2 separate regions of the Mus musculus genome follow, and region 2 is reported to be linked to region 1. The links are microRNA targets in miRTarBase. Many come from high-throughput screens and were not tested one by one. Region 1 holds a microRNA gene; the other region holds the end of a gene's coding sequence.

The links. The annotated mature microRNA mmu-miR-7b-5p reads UGGAAGACUUGUGAUUUUGUUGUU and lies in region 1 at 4,566-4,589, shown strand. An mRNA with a match to its seed (bases 2 to 7 or 8) in the 3' UTR can be bound and repressed. Matches are read on the target gene's strand: a 7mer-m8 pairs with bases 2 to 8, a 7mer-A1 pairs with bases 2 to 7 and ends in A, and an 8mer does both.
Region 2: the mRNA of Antxr1 is a reported target of mmu-miR-7b-5p. Seed matches in the 3' UTR shown: 7mer-A1 at 5,160-5,166 and 7mer-m8 at 4,323-4,329.

What each region holds. Positions count from the first base shown.
Region 1 is chr17:56,238,452-56,245,571 of GRCm38, forward strand. It overlaps Mir7b (microRNA 7b), which reads left to right and starts at 4,537; the gene lies at 4,537-4,647. A230051N06Rik (RIKEN cDNA A230051N06 gene) reads left to right here and starts at 3,265. Exons shown (of 2, transcript NR_155493.1): 1 at 3,265-3,363; 2 at 3,705-4,354.
Region 2 is chr6:87,130,618-87,137,737 of GRCm38, forward strand. Antxr1 (anthrax toxin receptor 1) reads right to left here. Exons shown (of 18, transcript NM_054041.2): 18 at 3,236-6,738. The coding sequence ends at 6,478. Among named protein-coding and RNA genes, the nearest start is that of D6Ertd527e, 29 kb to the left of the region's middle.

The DNA.
Region 1 (7,120 bases):
AGGACTGCAGTATCATGTGGGTGTCGTTGGGTGATTATTAAAAAACCTTCATTCATAGCTGGGCGGTGGTGGTGCACGCCTTTAATCCCAGCACTCGGGAGGCAGAGGTAGAAAGATTTCTGAGTTCGAGGCCAGCCTGGTCTACAAAGTGAGTTCCAGGACAGGCAAGGCTACACAGAGAAACCCTGTCTCGAAAAACAAAACAAAAAACAAAACAAACACACAAACAAAAAACCCTTCATTCATGCTGGGCAGTGATGGCACATGCCTTTAATCCTGGCACTTCAGAGGCAGAGAGAGGTAGACAGATTTCTGAGTTTGAGGTCAGCCTGGTCTACAGAGCAAGTTCCAGGACAGCCAGGGCTACGAAGACAAACCCTGTCTTAAAAAGAAAACAAAAGCAGCTCTTTCTCTTCTGGTCCCAGGCGGTGTGGGAGCCGTGGGTTACCGTGCAGACATGGCCAAGTCCAAGAACCACACCACACACAACCAGTCCCGAAAATGGCACAGAAATGGCATCAAGAAACCCCTGTCGCAAAGATACGAACCTCTTAAGGGGGTTGACCCGAAGTTCCTGAGGAACATGCGCCTTGCCAAGAAGCACAACAAGAAAGGCCTGAAGAAGATGCAGGCCAATAATGCAAAGGCAGTGAGTGCGCGCGCAGAGGCCATCAAGCCCAAGATGCCAAAAGGCCCCAAACTCAAGCGGCTGGCTTTCATCGCTCACCCTAAGATTGGGAAGTAAATTCGAAGCTACATGGCCAAGGGTCAGAGGCTCTGCCAACTGAAGCCTAAGGTCCAAACCAAGGCAGGGGCCAAAGCTCCAGATAAGGCCCAGGCTTCAGCTCCAACCCAGGCTTCCAAAGGTGCTCAGGCCCCCAAAGGTGCCCAGGCCCCTGTGAAGGCCCCATAGAAAAGGCTCCTGCCAGTGTGAAGACAGACAGACTGCTGTGACACACCTCCCCACACACTATTTGCAGATGATCAGTGTCCTATGCTGCTCTCACAAACTCAGGCAAGATCTGTAAAAAACAAAAACAAAAACACAACAAACAAAAAAAAATCAAAAGCAAAACAAACACACAAAACTTTCATTCATCGGTGCCTGCCCACACCCGTAGTTTTCATGACACAGGACACATTGAGGTGTCACCAGAGGGAGAAAGTGGGAATCATGAACCTTCACACAGTTTTCCAGGATAGGAGCAGAGCGCATCAACAAGGGAGACAGACCTGAGGGACTTGAGGCCAGTTGGAGCTGGAAATGGCAGCCTACACCTGTGATCCCAACTCTTAGAAAGCTGGGGCAGAGGATTTCAAATATGAGAGCAACCTCAGCTACAGAGCAAAGCCCCTATGTCAAAGAATTAAAATACACTGCTGGAGAGGTAACTGAAGTGTTTGCCACGCAAGTGTGAAGGACTGAATTTCATCCCAGCACCCATCAGAAACCAGGCATGGCAGTGAAAATAGCACACATGAGGAAGCACATGTGTAAGTTCCTGGACATTTTCTTCATGATGTCCAAACAGTGGCGTAGTTCAAGGACTCTGAGTCCTTGAACTAGGAAATATCTGATGGACAAAATCCATCCACAAAATGATTGTGATTCAATCCTGAGAGATGTGTGGGGGCAATGGAGCTGGAGGGTGAAGGCACTTGCTGTGGGGTGGCCTGAGTTCTATCCCTGGGACACATGTGGCAGAAGAAGAAAACCTACTCGTGCAAGGCTTTCACAGAGCTCCAGATAAGCACCATGGCGCGTGTGTGCACATGCATGAGGGTGGGCTTTCACACACCGTTTCACTTTCTATTGATTTGTATGTGCGGACATGGAACACAGGACCTCACAAATGTGAGAGAAGAAACCTGCCAAACAGCTTCCCGTAGCCCCAAACGATTCTCCAGCGTGGCAGTGGTGATGCCAACCTTTAATCCCAGCACTCAGGAGGCAGAGACAGGTTGATCTTTCTGAGTTTGAAGCCAGCCTGGTTTACACAGTGAGTTCCAGGACAGCCAGGGCTACACAATGAAGCCCTGTCTCAAAAAGCAAACAAGCAAGCAAGCAAGCAAACAAACAATAAAAAGAACAAGAATTCTCCAAAGGTTTAAAATGAATTAAATTAAATGTGGGCTGCAGGACCCACAAGCTCTCTGCTGACTTCTATGCATGTACTGTGCATGTGCACATAAATAAATAAATAAATAAATAAATAAATAAATAAATAAATAAATAAATAAATCTTATAATTTCAGGGAGATGACTTAGCTCTTTGAGGGACTGCAAGGCTCTGGGTTCATATCCAAATTGAAAGAATGGGAAGAAATAAGAGAGAAAAACAAAGGGCGTGGGGCATGCAAGTTTTACCCAAGAGACTGCTAGAAGGGAAAGGGACAACTGATCAGAGCTTAGATCTTGCAGGTGGCTTTCCAGGGTCTCATCCCAGGTTCCCTGCAGCCCCTCCTCCCATGCCCCTAGGGTGTATAGAATGAACCTGGCTTGCCAGCTCCGCAGCCTGAGGAGCTGGTAGGAGATTTACAAGCCTGAGTGTGTGTCCTCCCTGACTGTCTGTCCCTTTGGTGCTACAAAGGAAGCTATGTAAATGAAGGTGTGTGATGTGCCACACACCAGCCTTCCCAGTGCTGAGAAGGCTGAGGCAAGAGGATCACAAAAGTGAGAGAGACTGTGTTAGAGGGGGGAAACTGTGACTAGGGCTCAGGGACAGAGCGCTGGCCCAGCAATCAGAAAGCACTAAGTTCCATTCCCAGCACTGCATCAATCTAGTGTGGAGGCAAACTCCTGATGGGAGCCTGAGGCAGGAGAATCATAAGTTTGAGGTCATCATGGACTACAAATCAAGACCCTAACTCAAAACAAAACAAAAATCGCCAGAGCTCCGCCTCTATCCTACGCTTCTGTGAGTCTCATTCCCGCACACTTCATCTTCCCTGTGTAGAATTGGACTTTATTTTCAAAATCCCTCAATTTCTTCAAACATTTTTTTTCAGCTTCTCTGTCCCAGCAGGCACACGCTTGATGATCGCTAATCCTCTGGCTACTCAGTGATCAGGTTTTAGATGATCCTCTCGTGGAAACTTAACAGGCCACAGGACTACACCCTGACACCTTCTGGAGACCCCTAAAGAAGTTTTTGGACGGATGCCTGACTTTTATTCTGAAGCCGAGGCCTCAACCTATGAGGTAATCCTTGGAGCTTCATTCCAAGACGATTCCTATTGGTTCACTGGCTAAGCCCCACCCAGGGTTTCCAGCGCTCCGCCTTCCCCTTAAGCGCATAAAGGTGAAACGTCGGAAACTGGACAGCCACCGAGACACCTGCAGCTGCTGGTGAGCAGGAGAAGGTAAGGCACGAAGGAAGGAGGAAAAGGTGCGCTGAGGGAGGGAAGCGGGGACTCTGGGTACAATGCAAGTTGGCACATCTTCCAGAAGGCCAACTGGACTGTTTAGGAAGGGCAGAGAACCCAGGGCTGTCTCCCTGAGATGTGGGAGCAGGTGAGAGCCTTGCGCCTTCGTCCCCGCCTAGAACACCCCGGGTCCATGGGAAGAGATTAAAACAGAAGATGGGTCCCTAGGACGAAGAACAGAAACAAGGAGCGGGGCATTTTGGCAGAAGGCAGAAGCTGGGAGAGTGTCCTCGAGCCGCACTGACCACCCCCTCCCCCAATAACTAATTATGTTTCAGCACTGGAGACGCGGACAGCGCCATCCGGCTGAGGGACTCGGAGCAGAGTTCGGCTTCAGCACCAGGATTTCGGACAGCTCCCAGCGGGTCACGAAGAGACTAGGCTTCAGCACCCGGCCCCTGGCAGTGCCAAGCTCTCAACACCCAGCTTCAGGGATCGCCTTGGGGTCTGTTCTGGCGGAGAGTGTACAGGGAAGGAACCTCTTAATGGTTCTTGGCATTTGTCCTTTACGGAGGGATTTTTTTTTTCTTTTTTGAAACAGGGTTTTTTTGTGTGTACCTCTAGCTGTTCTGAAACTCACTATGTAGACTAGGCTGGCTTCAAACTCACAGAGTACAGGCGAAGCATTTGGTCAACGAGATGTTATGAGTGCCTCTGGGTGTACTAATTTCCAAAGTGAAGTGGTGAGGGGAAAGCCAGCCTCAATCCAACTTTAAATCTCAAGTTCTTTTTATTTTTAAAAAGAGTTTTTCTCTCAATTATATATATAATTATTATTATTTTAAAACACTGTAGACCAAGCTTTGAACTCCTTGTGTAGCCAAAGATGATCTTGAAGTTCTCATCCTCCTGCCTCTACTCCCTGCGTGCTGGGGTGACAAGTGTGTGCTCCTCGTGCCTGGAACAATAAATCCCACGTTGGTGATGTGCCAGGGTGTGAGTTGGGGGGCAGGTAGAGAATGAATCTTGCCTGTGTCTCAGGGGATGGAATGGAAAAGGGATGTCTAGGGAGGGTAAGTCAGTGAGTGGGGTTTGTTATGCTCAATCCTCTATGGAGAGAGAGAGAGAAGCACTTGAGGGTGTTGAACCTGGCGGAGGAGGATGAGGACGAGGAGCGGAGTACGTGAGCCAGTGCTATGTGGAAGACTTGTGATTTTGTTGTTCTGATATGATATGACAACAAGTCACAGCCAGCCTCATAGCGTGGACTCCTATCACCTTTCTCCTGAAATACACAAACAGGTAGGGGCAGGAAACTGGGACAGGAGGGGGTTAAGGGAAGTCTAGCACGGACAGGAGAGGGTGTCTAGCAAGGTCTCGGGCCCTGGGAGAGTGCAGGAGTGTTTCCCATGCTATTGGCCTGTCACTCAAACACATCTACATGATAGGATCAGAGACACAACCTCAGGGCCCTGGGTCACAGCACCGTGCTTTCTCTGGAGACTCAAATAGGGAATGGTGAGCCAGTGGAGTAACTCAGAGGGAAAGAGTGCTTTGAAATTAGGGAACCCAAGCTTGAGCCCCAGGATCAACTGGGTAGAAGGATAAAACCAACTCCTGCAAGTTGTCCTCTGACCATACATGTCCTGTGACACACATGCTTCCACACACAAATAAATAAACACACATAAAAATTTTTCTTTTTTTTTTTTTTAAGAGAGGGTTTCTGGGGCTGGTGAGATGGCTCAGTGGGTAAGAGCACCCGACTGCTCTTCCGAAGGTCCAGAGTTCAAATCCCAGCAACCACATGGTGGCTCACAACCATCTGTAATGAGATCTGACTCCCTCTTCTGGTGTCTGAAGACAGCTACAGTGTACTTACATATAATAAATAAATAAATCTTTAAAAAAAAAAAAAAGAATTACATTTAAAAAAAAAAAAAAAAGAGAGGGTTTCTGTATATAAACCTGGCTGTCTTAGAACTTACTCTGTAGACCAGGTTACCCTCAAATTCAGAGATCCACCTGCCTCTGCCTCCTGAGTGTTTGAATTAAAAGCATGTGCATACATAAAACTTTTTTTTTTTTTGGTTTTTTGAGACAGGGTTTCTCTGTATAGACCTGGCTGTTGCTCTGTAGACCAGGCTGGCCTCGAACTCAGAAATCTCCCTGCCTCTGTCTCCCAAGTGCTGGGATTAAAGGCATGCGCCACCACTGCCCGGCCATAAAACTTTTAAAAGAGGGATTGGCATCAAAGGTACTTCTAGAAAACCCTGAAATTCTTTTCTCTTTCTTGTTTTCTTTTCCTCACTCTTTTCACTTTGCCTGCTTTGAGACAGTGTCACCTGTAGTCCAGGCTTTTCTCTAACTCTGAATGTAGCCCAGGATGGCTTTGAACACTGAGTTCTCTTGCCTCCAGTCCCTGAGAACCATGCCTAGCATACACGGTGTTGGATTCAGAATTTCAAATGCTTTGACTGGGTACGGTACCCATGGAGCCCCAGCCCAATTTTCAATAAAACTCTGTGCCCGCCACACAAAGCAACCACTAGTTGCATGACTGATACCAAGAAAATGTGGACTTGTTGTCTGGTGGGTCATGGCATTCTTAACATTCAACACCTATCATCTGTGACATTCTAATGCAGTCACTAACCATCCCCCACTGTGCAATTCTCCCCAGCTGTCCTAGTGTGCATCCTGGTGCTGTGACAGGACCTTGACTCAAGAAAAGGGCAGGAAAGAGTTTATTCAGCTTACAATGATGGCCACACTCCATCACTGAGGGAAGTCAGGGCTGGAACCGGGAGGCAGGAGCTGATGCAGAGGCCATAGAGGGGTGTTGCTTACTGGTTGCTTACTTGCTTCCCCTGGCTTGCTCAGTCTTCTTTCTTATAGAATCTGGGACCACCAGTCCAAGGATGGCACCACCCACAATGGCCTTAAATCATTAATCATGAAAATACCTGATAAAGGCCTTTTCTCAATTGAGGTTCCTGCTTCCCTTAAGCTCCACCCGTGTAAAGCTGACATCAAACTCAGTCACACAGCAGCCCAGGGGCTGCTTTGTCCATGCAGTTTCCTCTCTTGGGTCTGCACAGTCCACTCACATAACCTCCCATAACCAACTCTGCCTTCTCCAGGCTTCAGCTCGGTGGGAGAAACTTCCTGTTACCTCACTGGTCAATTAGGACAAGACTTTGTTAACATTCTCAGCCTCCTGCAACGGCCACACTATTTAGGAAAGGCTGATACTCTCAAACAGAATGTTTACAGATCTCTTCTGGGGGACTCTAAGTGGGGCTCCACCCCTGACCATGCCCTCAACTCCTCACTGGGTGATTCTAGGAGACTCCACCACTGAACCTGGCCCCCATCCTTTACTGGGGTTTCTACGTGTGGGCTCAACCCATGACCCAAACCCAACTACAGGGAAAAAATACCAGGAAGAATTTAAGATGAAAACATGTAGATTCAAGGCAGGGTTTTTATTGATAAGTCATACTTCCAGCTTTTATTTTGTTTTTGTTTTTTTTTTTTTTTTTTGGAAACAGGATAACACTATATAGACTAAGCTTGTCTGAAACTCAAGAGACCCACCTGCTTCTGCTTTGCCTCTAGAGTGCTGGGGTTAAAGATGTGACCACATCCCACCCCGTGCCTGGCTTATCTTTTATTTATTTTTTTGAGGATGTCATGCTACTTATACCCTGAATAGCCTTGAACTCATGATCTTCCTGTCTCTGCTTTTTCA
Region 2 (7,120 bases), not on the chromosome of region 1:
TCTCAACTGAGAACATGCTTGCATAGATATGTCTGTAGGCAAGTCTGTGGGGCATTTGCTTGATTAATGATTGACTGGGAAGCCTCAGGCATAGGGTAGAAGAGCCACCCCTCCGCAGGTGGTTCTGGACAGTATGAGAAAGCACTATGATGAGGGGACACTTAGTAAGCCAGTAAAAATCATACACACACAGCAACCCCATGGCCTCTGTTTCAGTTCCTGCTTCTAGGTTCCTGCCCTGACTTCCTCTGATATGGAAGTTTAAAGTGAGATAAACCCGTTCCTCCCCAAGTTGCTTTCGGTCAGGGTGTTTCATCGCAGCAAATTAAACCTTAAGCAAGACGGATTTAACTGAAGGCAGAAGACGGGATTTAGTGGCGAGCACCCAAGGAACTCAAGCTCCTGTCCACAGTCAGCAGCGGGCCTACTGATGACATCTCTGCGTACTCAGCCCAGTGCACAGTGACACTCCTCAGAGCACTGGAAGTGATTTCAGGAGATAGTTGACAAGCCATGCAAGTAGAATGCAAATATCTTAAGTTCTTTCTACCATATAGAAAACATGTTTCCATTTAAGAAAGAGCTGTTCTCCTGCCTTTATGTTTATGTGTGTATATGAGCATGTGAGTGCAGTGCTTTCAGAGGCCATAAGAGGGCGCTGGATCCCACTAGAGCTGGAGTCACAGATGCTTGTGGGTCTCCTGAGGTGGGTGCTAGGAACAGAACTCAGATGCTCTGGAAGAGCAGCAGGGGCTCTTAACTGCTGACCATTCCTCCAGCTCCATTTTCCCAGTATAAGACAATTGCAATCAATGGTGGTGTAAGGAATGAGGGAGGATTCCAGCTTTTCTGTTTTCCTTTCAAATTCCTGTTAATTATCTCAGATTATGTATTAAGGATGTAACTGAAAAATGTGTACATACTCAAAGTATACATCCTTAAAGTGAATATTAATGAAAATTTGGAACAAATGTTGGCCTGATTGTGTTAACAGATCTTGTTATTCTGCTTAAGATGAATCTAGTCCTAATGAAGTCTTATGAAGTAAACCAGGGAACTAGTACGAGTCTGTTTCCCTAAATGCAAGCAGCTGCCCTGGGAGGTTAGGAGGGAAAGCTCTGGGACCACAAAGAGACACCATAAAAACAGTGTCATATTCTGCAATAGACTGAGCTCTCCACAGTGATTCCTGGACAGCAGCTCTCAGAGAAGAACCCATGTCCCTTCTGCCTCAGCAGCCAGAACAGTCTTCACTGGTTATACGCGGGGCCGTGAAAGGCAGCCTCCTTTGGCTGAGCGAGGCTTGCTCCAGAGACCCAGTAGGAAAGTTTACAAGGGACGGAACAGTGAGCCATGTTCCCAGAGACAGGTGCCTGACACCGCAGAGCCCCCAACTTCATAATTCTGTGATTATCAGTCAGGCAGACAAAGCCCCAAGCTCCTGGCATTCTAGTGAGACTCCATCCTCACAGTTACCTGACAATAGCCAGGTATGCTCCTCCCCACAGCTACCCAGAAACTGCAGGATAGCCCAGCTCACTATAAAAGGGGCTGCTTGGCCCCTCCTCTCTCTCTTAAGCTCTTACCTTTCTTACTCTCATCTCTAGCTCTCCTTTTCTTCCTTCCTTCCCCCTTCTCTTTATGTGGCCATGGCCAGCCTCTCTCTTGTACCTTTTCTCTTTCTCTTTGGCCTTTTTACAATAAAGCTCTGAAACCATGTATTGTCTCTGCTCATCAAGGCCCGCCGTGCTTGAACAATGGAATAGGTTTTCCCCTAAAGAGCCGCATCTAACCACCCATCAGAAAGCCTTTCTGCGCTCTAGACCCTCGCCTGTGTGGGAATCACCTAGTGCCCCCTATGCCCCTGTCCACTCCTCTCTATGACCAAGCCTCCCCAGAGCCTCCACTTTGTTCTCAGCTCTCTCTTGACATACAGCGGCATCTGGGATGTCCAAGACTGAGAACCTGTTATCTCTGGCTTCTGTGAGGCCCAGAGACCTCGGACTGCCCCCTGTCCACCATGGACTGGGTCCATGGCTTCACACAGTCAGACACTCACCAGAGGCCACGTGGAGAGGAGTTCTTCTGCCCAGAGTTCTCTCCCACCCCCTTTATTCCCCCATACCCGCTGCCTGACAGCTATATTCATTACTTTCCTTGGGAGGGAAATACCTGGCAGGAGCTGCTTCAGGGAGAGCAGGCTCTCTTGTCTCAGTCATAGAGGGAGCGGCATCACAGAAGGAGGGTGTGGCCGAGTGAACCCATGGAGGCCACAACTTCTCACATGGTGGACCCGCAGCTTTAACCCTCAATCCTGACCAGTGATTCTTCTCTGCCATCCAGGTCCCACCCCCTGAGGGTCTGGTAGCCCCTCAAAACTTTGGAGTATCAGGTGTTCAAATGCAGAAACGTGTGTGTGTGTGTGTGTGTGTGTGTGTGTGTGTGTGTGTGAGTGTGAGTGTGTTTATGTCAGACTTAAATTGTAACACACTATTTTTTTGCTAATTTGAGATAGGAGCTGACTATCTAGTCCAGGGTAGCCATTAACTAGCAACAATCCTCCTGTTTCTGCCTCAGTTAATTTTCTTTTGGTCCGCATTTTAGTTTCTTCGGATTCTATTTTTCACTTACCAAGAATGCTTTTTTAAAATTTGAAAATTATTACTAGAAATGAGGACCACTTTAACTCTTAAGAGCTAAAGATGGTAGTACAGATTTTTTGTTTGTTTTTTGTTTTTTGTTTTTTTCGAGACAGGGTTTCTCTGTGTAGCCCTGGCTGTCCTGGAACTCACTTTGTAGATCAGGCTGGCCTCGAACTCAGAAATCCACCTGCCTCTGCCTCCCAAGTGCTGGGATTAAAGGCGTGCGTCACGGTAGTACAGATTTTAATGTGTAGAAGATATTTGAAAAAAATATATATTTCAGTGTACAGAATGATAGCTATTTTGTTTAAAACTTTTTAACATTTATTTTGTGTCTCTGTGCATGTATGTGGATGCTTGTGTCCTTTAGTGTACACAGGGAGGCAAGAGGGCAGCTTTCAGGAGTGGGTTCTCTCCTTCCACCATGTGGGCCCCATGGATTGAGCTCAGGCTGTCAGGCTTGGCAGCAAGCCCCTTTGCCAGCTGAGCCGTCTCACTGGCCCGCTAGCTCTGCTTTTATGATCCTCAGTAAGTACTTGAAACACGTGCATATTATTTTTATGGCAGGTATAGAAATAACAAGTAACAAGCACTGATTTTAGGTGTTTATTATTATTTTTTTTTAAAAAAGCAACTTCCAGGGTATACCATTGTACAGGTTCAGCCCAGTCTCCTACAGCACAGTGCGGTGATGACAAGTCTTTTATAACAATAACTCAGAGACGCTGAACGTCCATAACTAAATTACCATAGAAAAAGAGAAGAGTTTAATGTTATGTGTATTCAGAAATCATATTCTAATTCCTTTAAATCGGTTCTCCAAGCGTGATAACTCAGCTGAGCTCAGATAACTAAAAAAACCCTTTCCATCCTCCTGGTGAGTAAGATCAGGCTTTGCATAGCTTGCAAACGAATTCCACCCACTTTACACAGCATGAATTCCCTTTGCGCCTGAACTGTCGGTCATTATCTCACAATTATTCCTTGATGGATTTTCCACCATCACATTGTGTGCAGTGGCAGGCAAGGATCATTTCTGCTCTTCCTTGGGGTTCCAGAGAGACCTCTGTCCCAGGCTGGAGAGCCAAGACTTTTCCACTTCTTTATGGTAGCTTTGTCCCTGACGCTGGGGAAAGACAGCTCTTATGTCTCCCTAAAGTGTGTGGCAAGCTCCAGGCAGGACCTGTTTTCGAGCTGGCTGTCACAGCAGAAGGACCGCAGTTCCCAGCAAGGCTGTCATCGGCATTATGTAAAGGAGGGTCTCGTCACCTAGGAACTATTTGTACATTGTAAAAGCAGTATGGTCATGGGAGATCAACAAGCACAGCTTGGTAGGGTAACCTGCCATGAAATCACTGGCTTTAATAATTTACTACAACTGTTCTTTTTATTCACACTGATAGGACGTGCTTCCATCTGTCACGTGGAATATGAATATATACAACAAAATTTGGCTTATATAAAAAAAATCCTCCGTAAGGACAATAACAAGGAGTCAAACAAATAACACATGCAGTTTGCTAATCACAACCACCATCTCCTGTTGCTTACAGGGAATGACACAGAACTGATGGGCTTTGTAAACCACATCAAAGCTCTTCCTGCCTGTAATCACCTACTCTGAAAGGTATTAACCTTGACGGTTTCTAGAAACTTCTAGCCATAATTCTGAATGACCAGGGAAGACATTCCATAAATTCTAAGGTCAAACCTTGCAAATTCTTCTCAGAATCACCATGTATCAGCATTCATTTTTCCTCAGACACTTCACCACAGCCCCTTGGGACACTGCACAAGGCCTGCTCTCGGAGTCTGCTGCCTTCCCCGAAGCCCATGCTTGTTGAACAGCAACGCCAGCATCTTGGTTCGTACTTTCTTATGGCTGCACAAATCCTGCAGCTGTAATGTGGGGTGGCCCGTTTTGTACTGCCAGCAGTCAAAACAGTTGCCATGGGCTCATAGTTGCATGCTCTGAGCCTGGGGAGCCCATTCTCCTTGGAATGGTTTTCTGGGGCCCAGCAATGTCATCTCAGGTGGCTGAGACATTCTGGCACCTGTTTAACAAGGACTACACTAAACAAGCCTTGTTCTAATATGGGGGCACAGTAAGGGTGAAGGAGATCTTTTTCACAACTCCTGAAAAGCAGGGAGTGGTGGCCACAGGGAGAAGAGTGGGGTCTGGGGTACACTTGGGAAAGTGTTACTTTGGTGTCAGCACCATAGGTCTTGGACTTGGGCGTTCTTTCAGGTCGATTTTCCCCAGATAATAACTTTTATGCTGGTGGTTCCCCCATTCTCCTCTGCTTTTCTTTCTAAGGTAGGGATTACAAACAGTGTTTATCTCTCTCAATTCTAACTGATGACCAACAGGTCATAAGAGATGTGAAGTACTGTGGAAAAATATAATTGGATTAAATTGAGAACTAGTGCTGAGATTGATTAATAATGTCTGCCTTGGGAACAAGGATTGGTGTCTATGGAGTGCATGACACCTGGATGCCTCTGTTCTAAACAAGCTGGAAGAATGAGGCTAACTTGAGTTCTTGAAGGATCTTTGGAGATCACAGCCCAAAACATAAAAACTTATGCCCGTTTTATATCTTTTGTTCCAGGAAAAAGTTTAGAGGTTTAGGAGCCTAAGACAGGAATTTTGGGGCCTGTGGAAACTGAGGAAGGAAGCATCATTTTTGTACAGGCTATACACTGCCTTTGACAATGACCTCTGTTTTCATGATTGGGTGACAGTGTCCAGAGTCTACATGAGGTTAAAGGGCTCACTGACCAAGCAGCTTCAGAATAATGTAGAGGAGTGACATGGGGATTGCGGGCAGAGCTTTTCTATTACACACTGGATGTATTTCTCCTTGCTTCATAACTGGTAATACTTGTGAGCAGGTTGAAAGGCCAAGGAGAGATATACCATACATACAACGGCCTGTTTCAGAGTAAAACAACTGGGAATGGTTTTCTTGCCAAGTCAGGACTACTGTCTCTTAGCTGGATTTAGAAATCTCTGGGGTCCTGGGTATTTGAAGATGAGGAACCTTGCGATTTCATGGGGAAGGTTCTGTGTGATCAGCTCTGACCTATGCCACAGTCAACCTTGATGTTTAAGGTGAATCATTAGTAGGTTGCCTTTGACAATGACAAGGCTTGTTGGTTTAGGAACTGTGCCTGCTGAAGCCAGCCATTTCTAGATGTAAGAGCTGGACACTCCCATCAACGCTTCTCCATCAGTGCTGAGCACTGACGTCCTCTAACTTCTAAGCATGGCAACACCTTTCCCCTTCCCTCATCACTGGGAAACCAGGAAGTTCGGGAAAGAGAATAGAGCATATGCTCTTTATAAGGCAACCTGCAGATCCCAGTTGGATACCTATTCGATGCATACTAGGGACACTGCACATTTTCAGAGTTGCTGGGTGGTACCAGGGGTGGAGATGGCCTGGCTCCCAGTCCAAGAATCAAGAGTCAAATCAGTGAGGTCAGAATCTCAGCCAGGTGCTTCTTATCCAATGCTGCATTCCATTCTTGGAAGTCACTTTCTTCCTGGTCTTCATGGGACATAATCTGGCTGAGAGCACTGTGGCAATGTGGCCATCTCGGGAACCTTCCTCTAGAGGTGAGGGGTCACAGGCTATAATGTGACTGTTATTGTCTCATTGTCTGTCTTCAGGCAGTTCAAAATGCCCATTTTGTTCTGCCCATCACGACTTGCTTTTAAATCGTGCAAACATCAGGTGCCACTCACCACATAGGCTGGGCAGATCTTTCTTTCAGCAGAGAAGCCTCCTGCTGGAGTTGCTCAGGCAGCCCAGAGCTCGGACTTTGGGTTCTAGACAGAAGGCCTTGGAGGAGGTCGGGAGGGGGGAGGTGCCCTGTTAGGGGGTGGGGCCTGAGGAGGAGGGGGGAGAGTGGATGGTGGGGAAGGAATGGGAGGAGTGGGGGCACTGGGGGCTGGGGGAGGGCAGTGGGGAGCAGGGGGTGGGGGTGTGTAGATAGGAGCGGGAGGTGGGGAGCTGGGGTGGTAGGTGTTGTTCAGGGGATACTTGGCTGGCTGACTGTTCTTCACTCTGGTGAAGTTGATACAGCGTCCCTGGAAGAGAATCAGAGGAGGACCATGAGCCAATGTCTTAAGGAAGAACAAGTGCTGAACATGGTGGCCCTTGAGGGACAAGAGACACATTGACAACATGCTGCTGATGACCTAGTGACCTGATGTCACATTAGTCACTGGTTTCTTTGAATCCATGTCCTTTCCTGGGCTGGCTGGGTCTCAGAATTGTCAAAATCCATTTCCCTTACAGTCTCTCACTGTCTTGGGTGGGGATAGAGGGAAGTGGGCCGATGCTAACCTGGCTGTAACATTATGAAGGGTGTCCCATTTACTTTTAGCCTTGCCAGTAGGGTGTGGCCACCATTCCCTTGCCTGGGGGAAGAAACTAGTGTTGAGAAACAAGTCCCTTTCCCCAGGGCCT